2 linked regions of the Coturnix japonica genome follow. The protein of the gene in region 1 binds, or shares a complex with, the protein of each later gene. Links are inferred from orthologs where the notes say so. Each region holds a gene or a part of one and is shown on either strand. Other genes may lie near its edges.

Evidence for each region. The genes of interacting proteins can lie anywhere in the genome.
Region 2: the proteins of SCAP (region 1) and INSIG2 are in contact, whole or in part, in a cryo-EM structure (PDB 7ETW), measured with the Homo sapiens proteins. The link is inferred for Coturnix japonica from reciprocal best matches to the Homo sapiens genes SCAP and INSIG2. Residues at the interface, in NP_036367.2 of Homo sapiens: Pro200, Ser206, Val282, Ala283, Glu284, Ile286, Pro287, Thr290, Ile294, Ala297, Tyr298, Phe301, Lys305, Tyr351, Val354, Val355, Glu359, Thr409, Leu410, Val411, Ser638, Tyr639; in NP_001308258.1 of Homo sapiens: Phe41, Val45, Leu48, Leu49, Ile51, Val55, Leu57, Phe58, Pro59, Val62, Ser65, Ile66, Glu104, Trp105, Ser106, Met109, Arg110, Val112, Ala113, Val114, Val116, Gly117, His120, Gln132.

The regions. Positions count from the first base shown.
Region 1 is NC_029517.1:772,620-776,679, reverse strand, and holds the start of SCAP (sterol regulatory element-binding protein cleavage-activating protein), read right to left. Parts: upstream 2,827-4,060; 5' UTR 2,646-2,826; intron 1,079-2,645; 5' UTR 976-1,078; intron 1-975. UniProt on the Homo sapiens protein: Escort protein required for cholesterol as well as lipid homeostasis.
Region 2 is NC_029522.1:18,248,174-18,251,742, reverse strand, and holds part of INSIG2 (insulin-induced gene 2 protein), read right to left. Parts: intron 3,375-3,569; coding exon 3,250-3,374; intron 1,691-3,249; coding exon 1,524-1,690; intron 1,170-1,523; coding exon 1,070-1,169; intron 601-1,069; coding exon 559-600; 3' UTR 1-558. UniProt on the Homo sapiens protein: Oxysterol-binding protein that mediates feedback control of cholesterol synthesis by controlling both endoplasmic reticulum to Golgi transport of SCAP and degradation of HMGCR.

The DNA.
Region 1 (4,060 bases):
GGAAAGCGTGCAGAGAGCTCCTAGAGCAGAAGGAACAGAGCAGAACTAACAGAGCAGAACTGCTCCCATGTGGCTCTGTGGGGTGGTGCCCGTCCTGCTGCACACAGAGCCTCCCTCCAGCTCCCACAGCTCCAGCACAGCTCTCACGCTGAACCCCGGAGGGCTGGAAGCCCTGCCTGCTAATTAGCAGCTACTCACAGGCAGGATGCCAAGCGACAGAAATGAGAGCCCACAGCCACCACGCTGACCACACACTGCATGTAAAGGGAAGTGAGAATGAAGAACCCTGGATGTATTTCCCTGTGTTGTTCCCTCAAAAAAAAAAAAAAAAAATAGAAAAAAAGCCACAAAAAACCATTAATCAGAACCGTTTTCAGGACAAAAAGACAAGAGTGCTCCCTAACATCTGCCCCGCTCAGGAGGCACAAGTGAATTCAAGCACCTGTAAGGTGACTCACCTGCATGGGATTGATTTTCAGCAGGTTCTGGATTACAGAAGAAACGTTTGGCAAGGCAGAATAAGCAAGAAGGGCTGTGAGCATCGGACAAAGGGAGCCCTCTGTTATCTCCAGCATCACACACAGCTAAATATTTTCCTTTCTAATAATCCACAACTAAAAGCCAGGGCTGCCAACCCATTCAGCTCTTTCTCCCCAGCAGTGAAACAACCCCCAAACGACGCTGTTAGATAACAAAGCCTAACTCCAACATTGTCTTCTGAGAACAGACCCACCATTATCCCCACGGCATCTTTATCACAATGGACCACACAAGATTAATTCAGTTTTTAACAGAAGAAATGCAACCCTCCTCCTCATATGTAATCATAGGGTTGAAAAGGACCACGATGATCATCTGGTTTCAACCCCTGCAATGTGCAGGGTCACCAACCACCAGATCAGGCTGCCCAGAGCCAAATCCAGCCTGGATGTTCTCCTCATTCATTGCTGCTCTCCCACATCAGCTGTAACTCACCGTTCAATGGGCAGGAGCCTCAGATTTCCCTGCTCTTCCCAAGGGAATCCAGCTCTGCAGTAAAGGCACCGGCCATCCCGAAACGTCAGCGCTGGGCGGTCACCTGAGGACACAAAGCACAACCTGAAGACATCAGCTCCATGCCCATCCCTCCACTCCTTTCTGGTATCTGGGCTGCAAAATAACATCTCACAGCCAACACAGCTGAGGGCTGCACTGCAGAACTCCCTTCTGCTCCTTAAAAGCCTCATTTCAATGCAGCAATCCAGGACAGGGCAGCGAGAGGGAAGAACACGGCAGCCCCAGAGCAACAGCGGGTGGGAAGGGCTGAAACCAAAGGCGTTGCCCAAGGAGGCTGTGGATGCCCCATCCCTGCAGGCATTCAAGGCCAGGCTGGATGTGGCTCTGGGCAGCCTGGGCTGCTGGTTGCTGACCCTGCACACAGCAGGGGGTTGGGACTGGATGAGCTTTGGGGGTCCTTTGCAACCCAGGCCACTGTATGATATGACTCCACAGGTTGTGCTGAACAAACCAACAGTGGTATAGCCGTGCAGAGAGACCGCCGAGCTTCACTCATCACTCAGATTCTGGTATTTGAGCGCTACTTTAATGCTCCTGAGAGAAAAACAAGAAAAGCCACGATGGATTCTCTGCTCTTTTGTGCCATCTGTGTGTTTAATTCTTGCCTGGAGGGACAGGCAGCAGAGCACCACTGTCAGTGAGCACACAGCACTGAGCTGGTGGCAGCCCGGCCTCCCTCTGCCTTGCATAGGATGTATCACACCTGTATGTGAAACCTATTGCTGTTACAGCAGCAAAGAGCTCATGCCATAGCTGAAAGGAAGCTTCGCTTTATGCTGGGAGGGGGCTGAGAAAAGAGCTGAGGGTTGTTTTGGTGTTAAGGCCACAGCTCTGTCCTGGGTTGCAAAGGCCCACAGGTGCTCATCCTTAAACCACCCCTGCGTGTGTGCAGGGTCACCAACCAGCAGCCCAGGCTGCCCAGAGCCACATCCAGCCTGGCCTTGAATGCCTGCAGGGATGGGGCATCCACAGCCTCCTTGGGCAACCTGTTCCAGTGCGTCACCACCCTCTGGGGAAAAAACTTCCTCCTAAGATCCAACCTCAACCTCCCCTGTCTCAGTTTAACACCATTCCCCCTTGTCCTATCACTGCCCACCCTCACAAACAGCCGTTCCCCCTCCTGTTTATTCACTCCCTTCAAGTACTGGATGCCCACAGTGAGGTCTCCCTGCAGCCTTCTCTTCTCAATCCAAACCAGCCCCATTCCCTCACCCTTTCCTCACAGGAGCTGCTCCATCCTCTGAGCATCTTAGCGGCCTCCTCTGGCCCCGCTCCCCGAGCTCCCCATCCCCCTGTTGTTGTCCCGCACACACACATCACTACACACGGGCCCTACAGCAGCTCAGCACCTTTGTTCCCCTCAGGCTCATCGCAGCTCCGGGTCGGGCCGCAACCTCCAACAAGGGGGGGATAAAAGGGGGGAAAAAAGGCGAAAATGGCTGCGAGAGGAGGAAAGGGGCCGGGGGGGGAAGGGGAAATGGGGGTGTATGGGGATGTATGGGGTGTATGGGGGTGTGTGGGGATGTATGGAGGTATATGGGGTGTGTGGTGCTGCAGGGCCGCGCTGTGTGGCCGGCAGCTCCGCTCACCTCACGGCCTGTGCTCCTCCACCTCAGGCCGCTCCTCGCAGCCCCGCTCAGCCCGTCCCGTCCGGTCCCGCTCACGTCGCCGTGCTCCCGGCCCGGTCCCGCTGTTCTATCCCGTCCCGTTCCTCTCCTTTCCTCCCCTCTCTCTTTCCGGTCCGCCCTTCCCGCCCCCTCGCCGCCGTCTCCCGGCTCAATGGCGCATGCGCGACCCCCTTAGCCCCGCCCCCCATCGCGCTGCGGTTCGGTCCCGCTCGGCCACGCCCCCTTGCTCCTATTGGACACGCCCCTCGGGGGGCGGGGCTACCGGAACCACGTGAGAGCGCGGAAGTGGCGCGCTGGGAGCACGTGGAGCGAGGCTGGAGGGGCGGTGGGGCCATAGGGGGGATGGTGGGGCCGCTCACAGCACCGACCATAGGACCAGGTGTTGGCTGTCCCCGCACAAGGACACGCTGTTCTGCCCTCTGCTCTATCCCTGCCCTTGGCTCTGGACGTGGCCGAGGCTCAGCACAGCTGGGAGATGGGCCTTGAGCTTCTACAAACCAAGGGCAGCAGTGGGGATATGGGCAGTGAGTTCAGTCCTTACAGTGGGGATATGGGCAGTGGGTTCAGTCCTGTGTGGATATGGGCAATGGGTTCGGTCCTTGCTGTGGGGATATGGGCCATGGGTTCAGTCCTTGCTGTGTGGATATGGGCCATGGGTTCAGTCCTTGCTGCAAACCAGGAGACACCGTGGTTCTCAGTGCTTCCTTGCTGCTATCATTGCTATTGCATGGCCAAACACATGCAGCAATAACAGGCTGCAGCTGCTGCTGGGATCCAGCTCTCCAAATGAATCTGGTTCCGAAGGGCTGCTCTCCTCTGGGCACATCGCTGCTGTTGAGTGCTGCAGAACCAGAACGGCTGCACTAATTAGATCCTTTATCTAATTAAAATGAGTGACCACGAGCCCTTAGTGACACTCCATGACAGGAACTGGTAGGTCATAAAGCATCGCTGGTTGTGATCTGAACGCACTGATGGGTGCGGGCTGATGGACAAACATTGCTTGCATGAGGATGAGCTGGGGATGTCACACACTGAAGAGACACACACGGGCACAGGGGTTGTATTGTATATTAAAGGGGGAAAGTAACAAAGAGCAAAGAAGCACCTGAGCAAGGCGGCCTGCAAGTCTTACATCAGCCAGGAGAGCAGCTCCACACAGAGCTGCGTCTTGTTTCATTCTGTGTCAGCTGGGAGTTGAGCAAATCTCTCCCGTGGCAGAGCTGGGAGAAAGGTAAGGATTGCAACACGTTCCCAAGCCATCCCCGCCTCCACCCGCTCTGTGTCATCTCTTTAAATGCCAGGGTGGGGCAGCCATACACAACCGGAAAAGGTGAGGTGTGCCCAGCCCTCAGGGCATGGCCCCTGCTTGTACC
Region 2 (3,569 bases), on another chromosome or scaffold:
TCATACTAAGCCTCCTCATCTGTGATGTGAATGATAGTGCGTTAATAGGCGGAAATCAGTTACTTATTGCATCAAGGCCCACTTGCAATCCATGTATTTCTTAAATGTATTACTAGCTATCATCAGGTAAAGAGATCTTCATTCCTAAGTCTGAATCCCATATTTTTCACTGAGCTATTAAGAACAAATTCCTCAAAACTTTCAAGATAAAGTGAAGCAGAAGTTGCAGCTACAGAAACATAGTGCAAAGGTTCAGTTTGGCACTGCAACATTATGGACAGACAAGAAGTTACGGTAAACTCAGTTTAGATTTGGAAAAAAGAATCCTATAATTGAACCAACATTATCAAATGTATTGCATACTATTGTAACTTCACAGTAATCAAAAATCAGACATTAAGGTTTCTATAGAAGCAGCAATCACAGATTGCAGTAAAATATACCACTGAAGGGGAAAAAAATTGCATTTTGGCAATTTCATAGTCAAGTGTTCCTTATGCTCCTCCAACAGTCATTTGTCAGATATTTTCCTGTTTTAAAGGTGCATACTGTTTCTCCTCAGTCCTCGTGAGACTTCTCTGCAATGACCTTGCATTCATACTGAAAAACAGAAATTGGCAAAACAATAATAATTATGTACATAACTAATAAAAAAAGGCTATGAAGGGGAATTTTCTACAGTATAAACTGAAATAGCTCAACTTACTACTTTACCCAGTTAAGCTTGGTCTCCCTAAGTTCTAAGCAAACAGTGCTGGCTGTGATTTCTGTCTCCGTGAGCAGCAGAAATAGTACAGACTAAGGAGTGGTTTGACTTCTGCCCGAACACTGGTGCTCTCATTTAGCTTCTGAGACAAAAGCATGCACCCCAGCATACAGAGCAAAGCAATGAGCCACGTTCCTATTAAAAGCACTGATGGCTCACTAACCAAATCAAAAAGCAACTATTACCAGTTTGTACCTCATCCTGCAGCCCAAGTTCAAATAACTGATTGGTATGTACAAAGGAAGCAGGGACGTGGAGATCAGAAGTATCACTAGAAGGCAGTCAGTCCTCCCCCACACTTACCATTGCCAGCTGCCGGCCGATATTGCCCATCGTTATTCCACCAGCAAAAAATATACATGGCAACCAGGAACGAACATAAAGGAAATCTGGTGATGTATATCTGGAAAAGAACAGTTTTTTAGCTCAAACTTGTGCCATACATAGAGGAGAATTCTTCAATCACAGGAAACAAATCTATAGGCTTAAGTTATAGACACTTCAACTCAAAATGCTACTATTATAGAAACGTAATTGCTTAAAGTAAGTAACATTGTTGATAAAAGCAGCAATTTTACTGAATTAAGCAACTCCTAACTGAAAGTCTTAATACAGAGCTTTCACAAACGTATTTTACTCCCCAAATTAAGTTCTGACTGTTTTACAATTCACATCAAATTCAGCCCCTTCAGTTATTCTGACTTTGTATTACAGATTCAGGATACTACTAGCTAGCCTCAAAGAAATAAATACTTACTGATAAACTCCATTGTAGACCAGAAGCTGTGACACCAATGTGGCCAGGAAAGCAATTCCTACTCCAAGACCAAAGCCACTTCGTGATCTATCAAACGTCCACCATAACCCAATTGACAGAGCTGCTAACGTGAGAGACAACTGGATATTGTTGGCAAAATCCACTTTCTGTGTTAATTGTTAAGGAAAAGCTTGGAAATACCAAATACAAATGTAAAGTAGTTCTCTTGGTTCTGTTCATCATACTTTAACGTAACAGTTTTTCCCACCATAAAAATACAGCAGTAGCTGTATCTGTTACCACGCACCTAAGATGAAGAAGGAAATAAGCCTTTTAAATGTTGCCAACATATCGGGAAACAACTGAAGGCTCTTCTTCATGTTTTTAGTGTCTTAGTACTGTAAAAGAGCCAGGACTATATACTTGCCAAATAACACCACAGTTTCAGATGCAGAAAAAAAAATGCAAATTAGTACTGTTCAGAATAAGGACTTGCCATCCTTTTCTGCTCCTCTATTTCACTACACATAAAATCTTAATTCTGCCATTAGACTCCTTTAAATGGCAGAGATTTACTGGAGGGGAAAAAAAAAAAAAAAAAAGATACTTGTCACTCTTTCTTCTATTATGTTTAAATGACATGGTACTTTGCATTCAGCAAAACATTAAATGCTTTCTTAAAAATGAAATGTAGATAATACTAACATGAAAGTATTCAACACTGAGTATCAGATTTATGAAAAATGTAATAATGACTGAAGCTATTTGTATTATTTCACCTTCCTCAAAATGTTTTGGAAATACCAACTCATCCTCGCTATTTGTTTCCAAGAGAGAGTGCTGAAAAGGAGGCTGATGAGTTTCTAAAGTCTGAAAGCAAATTTGTGGGATGAAAACATAAAATCACTGTCCTACTTTCTCACAACAGCCTGGAGGGAGCTCAAGGAAATTAGATGTTCGACTAATCAGTAAAATTAATCAATTACAGGATAAAAAAAATCAATAGCATCAGAAAATATATCAAATGAACCAAAGCCACACCAAATATGGTAATGTGCAGAGCCAATAATAAACTAAAAAGACAGCTTTCTGGAAGAGCTGTCAAGGAGGAAACACAGACAGTACATTAATGTTATTCTGGAATTTTTGTAACAGCTGTTATAAAACCGCAAGGTTTGTTGCAAATAACTTGAACCATGTGAAAAACGCTGTCAATTCTTTCACATTTCTCCAAAGCAACAAAGTTGTATTTGCTCACTGAGCAGGTATAGTCCAAGGCTGATGAGAACTACAGGACTACATCAACAAATCTTTGACAAAAAGAAAACAAACAAGGTCTGTGAGAGACACCACGAATGACTCAACCTCAGCAGCCCCAGCTTGTCTGGCCATGCTGGATTGGTTTTGCTCCCACAAGCCATCCTTGCAACAACAACAAAAATATCTAAGGGCCACCTCAGTAAGAGCTCTGTCAGCTCTCACATCATTCACAGAACCTGTGCTCTTTTCCTGTAAATCAGGAAATTCAGTAGCCTCTTTTAGCACTCCCACCACACACTTCTGCTGTGCTGGAGCTGACAGTGAAAGGAATGAGCTCCAGAGAATACAAACATCCTTTCAAATCAGTTTATACCACAAGAAAGGTAACTATCCTCTCAGCATCGAGGCTACATCTGTGGAATGGGGTAACACCTGAAAAATGCAGTTTCATTGGAACATAGGATACAGCGCTGGCATGATTTATTCCCACAAAGACTGCTACACACCGCATTACACTGGACCATTCTCTCTTAAATTTATGTGGCTCTCCCAGATGTCTGTCCATGCATGGGTACAATAACCCAATCACAGCTGTGGAAACATGAAAGAAGAAAGGCCAAAAAAATTAAAGCTCCGGCAATGCTCAACCAAAACAAAGACTAGCTTGATTTCGTCAACTGCTGTAACCAAAACAAATCTTTTAAGCACACGAATCAAAACACACATGGCAAAACAAGCACACACATAAAAAAATAGTAATTTAAACAATTTCATATTTTTAACAAG